Linked DNA regions of Bombyx mori. The protein of the gene in region 3 binds, or shares a complex with, the protein of the main gene of each other region. Links are inferred from orthologs where the notes say so. Each region holds a gene or a part of one and is shown on either strand. Other genes may lie near its edges.

Region 1 (4,348 bases), about 8.2 Mb from region 3:
AGTCAGTAACTATATTTATATGTCTTGCTCAAAATAAATTTCCTTAGCTCCCTAAAGTGAGAAATCTTTGTAATGTAAGTAGTCACATTCTGAGGTAGATAACTTAGTGTCTTAAGAGTTCAGGGATCTTTTATTCACTTTCATAATAGAATAATTCAAGATGATTTATTAAGTAAATTTCACATCAAGCCCCTCAAAATCCAATGCAATTGCATTTAAGTGATTATCTTCCAACTGCAGGCTGCTTAATTTAAGCAGTAATACACACAATTTCCACATACATATACACAATAGTTATGTGTCATTAGAAAAAAAAAACTTTATCTTCCATGATATAATCTAAAGAGCACCCAGACTATAAAACATAATAAATAATCATTACATAAACATTTTCATGGCTTAGTCCCTATTTGTACTAATAGCACATTTGTTTGCTCATTAATTGGCCCAAAAGAATTGCATAGAACAAATACGTTTTGTTAAAATAGTAAAGAAAATGTTGTACAGTCTGTGTTGACTTAAAGACAGACTGCTATGAAATTATAGATATTTTATAAAATTATAATTGAAAAGGATATAAATTATGATGGGGACTGCCTGTGCTACTTTCCCCACCTCCTCATCCGTCTGCATTATCTTCTTGATACGTCCCTACAAACAAACAATGTCATGATTTCACTAATCTCAGACTTTTATACATGAAAACAACACATATTTTAAGGTTTTTGAACATTTTTTAAGAACTTTTGAACTTACTGGTGGAAATCTAGCATTGTATTTTCTCTTCTTCAACGGCATTTTGTATGTACGTTCACTATAACACCAATTAAACAGGAAAAATAGTTAAATTTGTCTATAGAACTATTACTTCTCGCGCATTTTTGAGGTTATAAAAGGGAGACGTTCGCAGCCTACTTCATTTATATACGAATTTGACAGTTCGTCTCCACCTCTTTTTGTGACCATTTTGAAACATTGAAATTTTGAACATTAAAATTCATTGCTATGGCGATAATGATAATATTTTTTTCATTTTAAACTCTAAAGACAGTCCGAAAACATATATTTCGAAAAGAATGATGACTTGTGATTGTGAATAATTTTGTTTCAGTCAAGTTAAAAAAATCGTTCAGAAATATCATTTTAAAAACAGCATCGAGAACTATGAATTTTTATTGCGAATTCCTTCAGGATTGATAACAAAAAAACCGTTCAATGATCAACAACAATGGTACTATTTAATGTATAGGCGAAATTAAATAACAAAAGTTGGTTCGGATGTCTACCTTGCTGACAGTGTACCTTGATTTACATAATACGTCTTGTGTTATTTGAAAAGACCCCCTCAGCATTAGTTTACAATCTCTGCGGAAGAAAAAATCAAACTCAAATTGTCTTTCATTCATTTTATCACAAAATTAGATTACATAAAAACAATTCCATTCCATTTTTCAGACATACGACTTTATAACAAAAGATCAGATTGAAGGATAGTTCTCTTTACTATCCATTGGACGAATCGTACAGAGAAATAAATCAAATGTCAAAATAAATGAACAATGTCAAATTAGTGAAATGTCTACGGTATTTCAGATTCAGACATAAAAATGGCGTCGTTGTCGAGGTGTGTTTTAAATGAAAACAATCAACTTAAATACTTGAAATTGAATATACAATAAACGCCGAAATTAAATAATAACTGATTAAAGCTACTAGTTAAATTAACTATTGTAAATAAATAATTTCATACGTTTACGTATTGACAAACTGACCGTGGTTCACGTTTCATTTTTAGCTTGTTGCCTGCCCCTAGTCAGCAAGTGTGGGATAGAGATGATGAGTTGAAGGCTAAACGTGTCGGGAGTGCTCTTGTAGTGTCCCAGACCAGTGTGCCACCTTACGGTGAGAGGAAAGGATGGGTACCTCGAAGAGACGAAGATTTTGCAGGTCTGTTAAATTTTGTAGATAAAAAAGTGAATAACCCCCGAAGTGAGAATCAAGTCAAAAAGTAGGTTTTTATTTGAAGTCGGAAAAAGAGTATCATCATCGATTCTATTCATACAATAGCATGTTTACTTCTGACGTGTGCTTATCCAGATATTAATCAGTAGTTGTGGCTTTCATATGAATTGAGAGACGGGAATAACCCCCGAAGTGAGAATCAAGTCAAAAACTAGGTTTTTTATTTGAAGTCAGAAAAAGAGTGTCATCATTGATTCTATGCATACAATAGCATGTTTACCTCTGACCTGTGCTTAACCAGATATTAATCAGTAGCTGTGGCTTTCATGTGAATTGAGAGACGGTATGCCGCAGGGTGTTGGAATCTGGATACCGAACTAGATCTTTCAGTAATTCTGAATGTCATTCTTACATAAAAAACCAGGTTATTATAATTAAAGTGGTTTTTGTGACATAAAACTACATAGCCTAATAATATAATCTTAATAATAAAATACATAGCTTAGTAACTATTGTGATGGCTTGGGATACAGGTGTATACAAGCTTGTGTAATGAAATAAATGTAAATTGTAATAATATATTTACAGTAAGAACTTGCTTAATGAGTGATAATATACATTCCATCAAAGTAGAGTTTAATATGAAACAGCATTAAACATAATCTCATAATGTAAATAATGGGGTTAGGTTAGATAGAAAATTGGTGAGGTATATAACATTAAATACCTCACCAATTTTCTGTCTATCTTTCTCCTATAAAACAATAATCTATTTCTTACAAATATAGAAACAATAAATGAATATAGTCTGTATGTTTATGTTGTATTTCAGTTCATACAGTTTCTTCTGTATTGCCAATTTTCTGCCTTTATTTTGCCAGGTGGTTGGATGTGCTAACAGCCCACGTGATGTTAAGTGGTTACTGGAGCCTATAGACATCTACATCGTAAATGCCACCACCCACCCTCAGATTTGTGTTCTAAGGTCTCATCTTTAACTACGGCTGCCCCACCTTTCAAACTGAAACTCATTAATGCTTTATAGTGTAAATAGGCAGGGTGGTGATACATCCCCGTGCAGACTCACAATACGTAATACCACCAGTAATTACGCATTATAATTTTGTGGATTTGATTATTATTATGTGATGTTATTCCTTCACAGTGGAAATCACTTGTGAACATTTGCTAAGTACGTTCATTGGAAAAATTGCCAGATTCCTTATTGTTGTCGTTGCCAAATTTAATGCAGCACCAATTTCAGATTGACATTCACCAGTATCTAATCTTCTATTAGCTTGCATCTAGTTTCTAGGGAAATAGTTTTTCTTGTTGCTTTATTTTTGTGTTTTTGTTAACACCCATGATAAAAACTTAAAATAAAAATATTTGTCACTTTATCAATCATTGTATCATATAAATTTGTACTTACAATAACACCAACAAATGTTTGAAATGATAAAAATATGTTGGATAACACTGCAGGATAGGAAAAACACAGAATAATTTATTCTGATATCGGGAAGCCTAGTGCCGTGTGCAATTTCAGGTCTTCTTCAGGCAAATCTTACAATTCAAATAAAAGAGAGTTAAACTGAAATCCCACTGAACGAGTCAGCATTATGTCAGGGTCTTACTGTACTTTCAAATTACACCTAAAATTAATTATATACGCAGTATTGCTTCAAAGCTTGTATGTTTTAGATGGCGGAGCATTCCCAGAGATCCATGTGGCACAGTACCCGCTTGGTATGGGAATGCGAGGCAAGGAGAGTACTTCAAACGCTCTTGCTGTCCAGCTGGATGAGTCTGGGAGAGTCAAATATTCTGCGATTGCCAGACAAGGACACAGCGCTGACAAGGTGATCAGTTAATTATTTGACATGGTGAATGAGAACACAATAGATATTATTGTTGAAGTCCTTGATTACTAAACACTTAGATATGTAAACACATAATAGGCTGATTAGAGAAATAATTTAAAACATCTAACAAGTTCTGTGAAGTCTGTTAAAAATCTCTGAATCTTTATTTATTTTAAAAGTTTTTGACTGTAAATAATATGTCTGTGTAGAATAATTTAAATGTGACCATTGATGTCATTGTTGGAAAAGGCGCCTGTTTAGTTGAATGAACAAATATTATGGTACCATAATTATTTCTGCACAGATTTCAATTTTGTATCATATAACCAGTCATCTAAATGGATCGATAACTTAACATTAAATAATATTAATTGAGAAATAAGCAGTAACATAGTTTGAGCATTTCCTGAAACCATCTCTAGGAAAGTATTATTGGAAATTTTTCCAACCAACAGGTGTTGTTATGCTTTTTAGATGGTTGGTTGCTTTATGGAATTTGTATGTATGCAAAAAGTTTGAAA
Region 2 (4,117 bases), on a different chromosome or scaffold from region 3:
TTGTTAGTATAAAAATAAAGGTTTGCATATTACGAAATAAATATGAGTTTTCACCACCATTGAAGTAGCTTCTTGCAGTGCATTATTAATAAAATAGAAGCACAGATATAAATATTTTTATTAAGTTTTATTAAATATTAATTGGCAAAAAATTACTTAAATTCGTTTAATGGATCGATGTTTTTCGATTTTAAATCGATGACATTCGTACGATGCTTAAATACATTAAAATGTATGATATACTGTATAGACGTATATTAACAGTCTTTTTGTAAAACTTTTTACTTTATCTGTTGGTTCGGTCTTGTTTTTACTTTACGGAGTTTTTAATATTTTTTATAATTCGGTTTTGGCAAGCGGTTAGCGGTTAGGCATGCCTAATAGCTTAAGCTTATAAATGATGGTATACATTAATACAACCACAGTGATTCATATTTTTTTGGATTGTTATACCATAAACTGCGTTTATTTGTGATCTAGGACTGTATAAAGTAGCACGGACGGATGGAAGTAAAACATTTTGAACAAAGGGGTAACCTAGATACTCTAAGAGTCGGTGCACGAAAGCGTTTGTTAAATTTATGAATTCAGAACCCACCAACTAGAGCAGCAACCAGATAGACCCTGAGTTCACAATCATTAGAATTCTGTACAGTGCTAGAATAGATTTATTTATGTATTTTCCCTAGCAGCCAGTAATTGCCTTATTTTTGTTTTTTTCTATTGGCTACTGCCAGAAGTTACGTTGGAAGGCTTGATGAGTTTATCTTTACAAACGCAACCATTGTGATCATCTATAATATTATATTTTCAGACATTTTTGCCAAAGACCATCAAACACCCCAACAATCTAGCACCCCACTAGATGCTTCTTTTTCTATTTGTTCTGAGTGTCCTTTTAAGCTTCTGTTTTTATGTTTCGTATGAATGATGCATTATGATATTCTTATGCAAATTCATAAAATTTCATAAAACGTGATATTTTGTATTTAAAAATCTAAATTATAATGTATCCTCCCATGGTACGCTGCCATGGATATACTACTAGCCCAAGAAAGATTCATGTCAGACAGACGGCCGATCGTAAAACTCATGCTAAAATCTCTTTCAGCAAGTTATGAGGACCATATTACTACCATAAATAACGTAGATTTATTATGGCCGGGAAAAAGTAGCTCGATCAAAGCTGTCAAGTTTCTGACAAGGCTTAAGAAGAACTCTGCAATAGGCAGTAGCTTGACCGTACGTACCTCTGATATTGTTGATGTCCAAGATCTATAATTTCCAAAATTATAATCGTAATATCGCCGTGTCAAAGGTTCTTATTTAATTTTGGAAGTGGCAGCACTGTCTCAGACGGTAGAATATAGTAGAAAAGTTAAATTCATTGACAAAATTCCAAAGAGTATATAATCACTACGTTATAAGAGTCCGCACTTCATAGTAAACGTTACAAAATGAAAATGTATGGGATCAGATCCGATCTGGTGACAACATTAAAACAACCACAGACTACAAAAATCCTACCACTGTCAAAAATAGTGATGGGCATTAATATCGATGTCCAATAAATAATGATGCGAATATTATCGATATTTTTGTCGATATCGAATGCAGGCAAGGATTGCATATTGAAATAAAAACTTTATTATTTTAAAAGAAATAAAACAATGTTTTATTACTTAGTATAATTTTAATGAAATTTGTAAGTAGAATTTTAACGCTTACAAAAAATTTTAAGTTTGTATCGGAAATGTTTAATTTTTATTTTACAATATAAACCAATATTTACTTAATTTTATGCAAGGTACAATAAGTATACATGTAGAGGTTTTCAACCTTGTTTTATAATGTTATAACGAACTAGGTTTTGAAAATTTTTGTGCTAAATAAAAAACAATTCGTTTCTATTTCCATTTGAAGAGTAAATTTTTAAAAACTTCTATTTTATAATAGTAAAAAAATAAAGTTCTAAATCTCTAAATGTATACTTTTTTTGAACTCAAACCCGAAGTTAACTTCTTTCTACAAAAAACAAATAAAAACTAATTATGTAATTATCTTGAAACACCATATTGTTGACCCCTTTTGTTCGCGTCCGCCAAATCCTCTTCCTTTGAAACTTGCTTTAAATTAATTATCTGGCACTGTCGCCGAATCAGCATTAGAGCCAATTTTGTAAACAATAAGTCTGACATTTGTTGACGATGATTAATGCATAGCCACTCTGTATTACAATTTGAATAAAATATAGTAATTGTCCACTGGCAAATATTGTTATTATGTAGGTTAGGGATACAAAACTGTTCAAAATTTGTAACCGCAGTGTGTACAGTTTGACACAACTGCAATGATGGATATGTCAAACATTTCTTATCTTGCCACCACTCCCTTAATTTAATTAAATCATAAATCTTATTTTCCTCTGGATCTGCAACTGTCAAAGTTTCTCTACAGACCTGGCAATCATTTTTTTTTAGAATAACAGAAGCTAGATATCCACTTATATAGACCACTGGTTGATTTGAAATTTTTGCTAGGTCACATACTATTTCTTTATATTCTTCTTCTTCAGGTATACTGAGAACCGGGTTGTCTTCCTCATTTTCATTTTCTGTGGAAACATGACTAGGAGACTCATTAATATCTTGACCTTGATCATCTTCGTCTTTAAACCCAAAAACTAAATCATGAAAATCCGTCATGAGTTCCTTTTTGTCTTCTTCACAATTGGAGTTTTTGCTGTGAGGGGCGGTAAGTCCTGATATTATAGAGGTTTTCATAGCTGCTATAAATGTAGAACACGTCGGATGCTTGTTTGTTTGACCATGCTGTCTTATTAACCCAAATAAATTTTCTAATGCATCCTGGTTTAACTGCCGTAGATTCAAATACTTATATCCTAAATCCTGAACTTCCAGCCAAATATCACGCAGCGATTTTAATGATATAATGTAGCCTTGAACACACTTTACATTTTTTGCTTCCACGCCATTATGGTTGAAAAATGTTAAAGTAGACAGTTGCTTTCTATATTCTGTCCAAACAGCTAAATGGTCAGTTTTAGCAGATACGTTTTCCCGTATACCTTTTTTTACGTCAGCATGTCCTGATGGCCCATTTGTATAATCAAAAAGTTTATTGAATTTTTCAATTAACAAAGCAGTCTGTAATATTTCATCTGATCGGTGTACATTTTCCACATTCGTAGCTAATAATTTAAGAACAGCAGCCACTGTTTGGCTAAATATTTGTGCGGCATACTTAACTTTCATTTTAGCTCTGTACTTTGGTTGTACATGAGTTGATTTGAGTTTGCTAAGATATAAAAAATTTCTATTTCGTTCCTCTACCTCAACTAAATGGCTCCATTGACCTTTCAATTCTCCCATTTTCAGAAATCCTTGTTTTAAAAAGTTATTTCTCAGTGATTTTAATAAATGTGGAATATCATAAATTATATAAATTTTTTTATTTTCAAATTCAAAATAATTATGTCCACCATTGTTCCACTCCTTTAACAGACTTAATGCTCCCATATTGGTGGGCGCTTGATCACATATTGTTGATAAAACTTGAAATCCCGAGTTAGTAATTTCTTTAATTATATCTTTTATTAAAACTGCTAATTTTTCTGAAGATACTGTGCCTCTTATGAAATAGAATGCCAGCGGTTGTTTAATTTTTCTCCCAATACCTTGTAACATGAAGACTAAGGCATGATTTGCTAGCTCATCTTTCCTCTCATATCCATAATCGATAAACCCTTCCACTTTATCTGTGGCTTCGCTATAAGTTAACCTTTCTTTTAACGCTATTTCATCAAAGACTAGCGAACATAATTTTGCTCTTATTTTTTTAATGGGAGCTAGTTTTTTCAGGTGGTCAAGTACAGCTGTATTTAAACCTGGCTCAACAGGTATTTTTTTCATTAATTTTTGCAATGTTTTGATACTCGGAAATGGTGCGAGATATCGCAGATATCGGTAAGCTTTTGGTGAACGCTTGAAGATGGCTAATGCTGATATTTTATTTTTAATAGTCCAGCGTTTGCCTTGTGACTTACGCTTTTGATTTATCAACGCAGACGTGACAATTTCTTTTAGAAACTCTGACG
Region 3 (3,657 bases):
TTCCTTTAGGTCATGTCTTATTTTAATTTATATTCTTATTTTTATATGAAAAATGATAACATGGAGTGAAATGAAATGAAGATGATTAATTTGAGATATTAATCAACCGGGATGAAATTAAATGAAATGAGATGATATGGGATGAAATATAATCTCAGTAAAATGGTGGTCATTTACTGAGATTTTGTCAGTAGACTTTTTGGAGGATCCCGAGAAGTTACATCCAGCAGCTTTGTTTTATTTTCCCACATATGAGCATCTTTCACTTTCATATACTAAACAGTTAATAAACCACCGTTATTACACATTTAAACCTGAAGAAACACTAAATATACAGAATAAAACAAATCAGACAATTTCACTACTCGCGTTCCCGCCAAAAAGTCCGACAACACCGTTGGTTAGTGTTGCCAGACCCCCGGTGACCCCCCCCCCGTCCCCCTTACAAGAGTGGAGCTACACGTCACCTGTGCGTGACCCCCTGTAAGTTGTAGTAGTTGGGGTTCTGCGTGAGCCGCCGGTACAGGAATGTCCAGGTCAAGTAGTCGACGGCGTCTTGCTTGTTCTCTATGGTCTTCGTCACTATCTCGGCGTTCATGTGATCGTGGAGTCTGTGGTCCAAGTGACTCTGTTAAATAACAAAAGTACCGTTCAAATTTAAGAATTTATTGTATAGAAAAAAGAAAAAGAAAAAAACAGCTTCCGTAGCGAATCGTATTGAAAATTTGGATTTTTTGTTGAACTTAAATAAATAACATAAGAGAATATGTGTGTATTTAATAATAAAAGATTTTTATAAACTCGACACTGGCAACAATTGCCATAGGTAAAAAAAGAAAGAAATTGAATTTTATTTTTGTCTACTATACACCATGAAACATGCACCGTCACATGGATATTTACATTTATTAAATATAATTATTACATTAAAAATATATATTTATAATTTGACTATATTACATATTTGTATTATTTTCGGTGTTCAAATTATGTATCAATGTACTTAGCGTTATTTTCTTTCTCTCGTGATGACGAGAGATGATGATGATCTTTTTCTCTCATGATGGCATCATCAATTTCAATTGATCATTCAAGAACGCCTTAAGCTATAAGCTTGTGAACATTAGGAGTGGGTAATATCGGTTTTGCCGCGTATCGAATCGTATCTATATATCGAGGATCAATATCGGATATTGAATCTATATATTTTCTGAATCTATATATTGATGGATGCTAGTAGATTTTCTCGATTCATGATATTTGAGATTTGAAACGATACGCTGATATAATATCGTAGTAGATATAGATTTTAAGTCAACGTTATACGGTTGGTTTTCTGATATCAATTTATAATATGATCTTAAAGTAATAAAAAGAACATGAAAATAAAAATATCAAAAAAACTTTCCTTCATGCTTTTACCAGGCTTAGGACTGGCTACATTATTTTCAGTTTTTAGTATTTTGTGTCTTAATTTAAAATTACAAAATATACCAAAAGAGTGTAGATTTCAAAAGTTTAATACAAACACAAGAAATAAACTCAATTATTTGGATTCAACTAAAAATAGAAAAATGTGTACTTTTAAAATCAAACAAAAAACTTTTAAGTATTTATAAACACTTGTCCAAAAATTCTAGTTCAAGGTCAAAGCGTGTGAAATCAAATTCAACGATGCAAATAGGCTATACTGCATTCAAGTTAGGGTCGAAAGTTGAAACTTCTTTCCTTAATTGTATCCTGCTGATACGCTAAGAATAATCTACAGACATATGGACTTAAATATAAGGTTTACAATTGTATGGATAATGCCTGTTTCTGTTTCATTCATCATATGATATTCCTATCGTGCGCTCGCTCACTCTGGCCGATTCGATACGAACCAAACGAATATTGCTGATATTCACGACTCGGTCCGATATGCCGATGCGCATCACATCGAGCAATATCGTGTATCGGCTGATATCGTTATATAGATTTCGATTCACGAATCGGTACGATATGCCGATGCGCATCACATCGAGCAATATCGTGTATCGGCTGATATCGTTATATAGATTTCGATTCACGAATCGGTACGATATGCCGATGCGCATCACATCGAGCAATATCGTGTATCGGCTGATATCGATATATAGATTTCGTGCGGGGCGATATCGGATTCAACGATATTGCTGCGATATATAGATATTGAATCTATATACGATTTATATCACCCACTCCTAGTGAAAATACACACGAGGTGGGTGGCGAACTCATCAAACCGTATTTTATTTATTGCTTAGGTTGGTGGACGAACTCACAGTCCCCCCCCCCCCCACCTGGTGTTAAGTGGTCATTGGAGCCCATAGACATCTACAACGTAAATGTCGTCATCCATCTTGAGATATAAGTTCTAAGGTCTCAGTATAGTTACGAATGCCCCGCCCTTCAAACCAGAACAGGCAGGGCGCACCCGCACGGACTCACAAGAGGTCCTACCACCAGTAATTACGGAAATTACAATTTTGCGGGTTTCATTTTTATTACACGATGTTATTCCTTCACCGTGGAAGTCAATCGTGAACATTTGTTGAGTACGTATTTCATTACTATTACTATTCGAAATCCGGCCGGGTACTGACTTACTATTCGGCCGGATAGTGAAAACATGGCCGGATAGGGCGGATACCGGGTTGTTACCGGATATCCGGTTTCATCTCCAGTCTGAACCCAATGAGGTGTCGCCTCACCTCCAGCGGCAGACAGTCGTTGAGCAACTTGGTGAAGAAGGTCTTGTGGTGCGCGGCGCACATGAGCACCGCCACCGAGTGGTCGTCCTCCAGCGGGCGGCACGCGCGCCCGATCATCTGCAGCACCGTCGTTATCGGGTACTGCTCGTACGAGTGCAGCTTGCCGTTGTACCTGACCAGGATACGAAAGTTAGTTAGTAGGAACGTGAACCAGTATCGTGAAAACCCTCAGACACAGCCCACTGAGTTTCTCGCCGGATCTTCTCAGTAGGTCGCGTTTCCGATCCGGTGGTAGATTCTGCGAAGCACGGCTCTTGCTTGGACTAGTGTTAGCATCACTCCGGTTTGAGCCCCCTGAGCTCATCTACTAGTTAAGGTTACGCTGATATAGCCTCTCAAGGCTATCAGCTTAGTTAGGAAAAAAAAAGTGTCGTGCATACAACAATAATACTGTTACACCGGTAAGAGTAACTCCATCTATCGCCGAATAGTCGAACGAATATCGAAGCACCTAGACTACTCGAGAAGTACAACGCCATCTATTGACAGATAGCGGAAACTACGACTAGATATGTGTGGAATATTCTCGATAATTTTAAGAATGAGGTATCGACTATAACAGCGGTGTAGAGATGGCACGCAGTCAGTCAGTAATCGGAACTACTCGAAGCGAAACAGCGAACGGCTCTACAAGAGTAAGTATTGAGCCACTCGAAGCCAAGTGTCCGCCCCTCCCCCGGGTAGCGTGCGCGACTCACGTGCACGTGTCGGCCACGATGACGGTGTGCACGTGCGCGGCGAAGCTCCAGGCCAGCTCGGCGGCGACCACGCACAGCTGCGCGGCGCCGCACTCTACCAGCTGCTGCACCACGCGCCGGTCGCCGGCGGACACGCCCGCGTGCAGGTACGCCACGCCCGCGGACAG

The links.
Region 1: U5 small nuclear ribonucleoprotein 200 kDa helicase (region 3) and puff-specific protein Bx42 share a complex: the UniProt entries of both Homo sapiens proteins name them as parts of the minor spliceosome. The link is inferred for Bombyx mori from reciprocal best matches to the Homo sapiens genes SNRNP200 and SNW1.
Region 2: U5 small nuclear ribonucleoprotein 200 kDa helicase (region 3) and small nuclear ribonucleoprotein G share a complex: the UniProt entries of both Homo sapiens proteins name them as parts of the U4/U6-U5 tri-snRNP complex. The link is inferred for Bombyx mori from reciprocal best matches to the Homo sapiens genes SNRNP200 and SNRPG.

Annotation. Positions count from the first base shown.
Region 1 is NC_085130.1:3,027,519-3,031,866, forward strand, and holds the start of puff-specific protein Bx42, read left to right. Parts: upstream 1-1,482; 5' UTR 1,483-1,607; coding exon 1,608-1,624; intron 1,625-1,795; coding exon 1,796-1,947; intron 1,948-3,666; coding exon 3,667-3,824; intron 3,825-4,348. Other genes in the region: uncharacterized protein LOC101746654, read right to left, coding at 579-651, 757-798. UniProt on the Homo sapiens protein: Involved in pre-mRNA splicing as component of the spliceosome. As a component of the minor spliceosome, involved in the splicing of U12-type introns in pre-mRNAs.
Region 2 is NC_085133.1:8,590,977-8,595,093, reverse strand, and holds the start of small nuclear ribonucleoprotein G, read left to right. Parts: upstream 1-1,251; 5' UTR 1,252-1,399; intron 1,400-1,673; exon of another isoform or gene 1,674-2,057; coding exon of another isoform or gene 2,058-4,117. Other genes in the region: uncharacterized protein LOC134201547, read right to left, coding at 2,058-4,117. UniProt on the Homo sapiens protein: Plays a role in pre-mRNA splicing as a core component of the spliceosomal U1, U2, U4 and U5 small nuclear ribonucleoproteins (snRNPs), the building blocks of the spliceosome.
Region 3 is NC_085130.1:11,236,883-11,240,539, reverse strand, and holds part of U5 small nuclear ribonucleoprotein 200 kDa helicase, read right to left. Parts: coding exon 3,491-3,657; intron 2,905-3,490; coding exon 2,733-2,904; intron 629-2,732; coding exon 468-628; intron 1-467. UniProt on the Homo sapiens protein: Catalyzes the ATP-dependent unwinding of U4/U6 RNA duplices, an essential step in the assembly of a catalytically active spliceosome. Plays a role in pre-mRNA splicing as a core component of precatalytic, catalytic and postcatalytic spliceosomal complexes.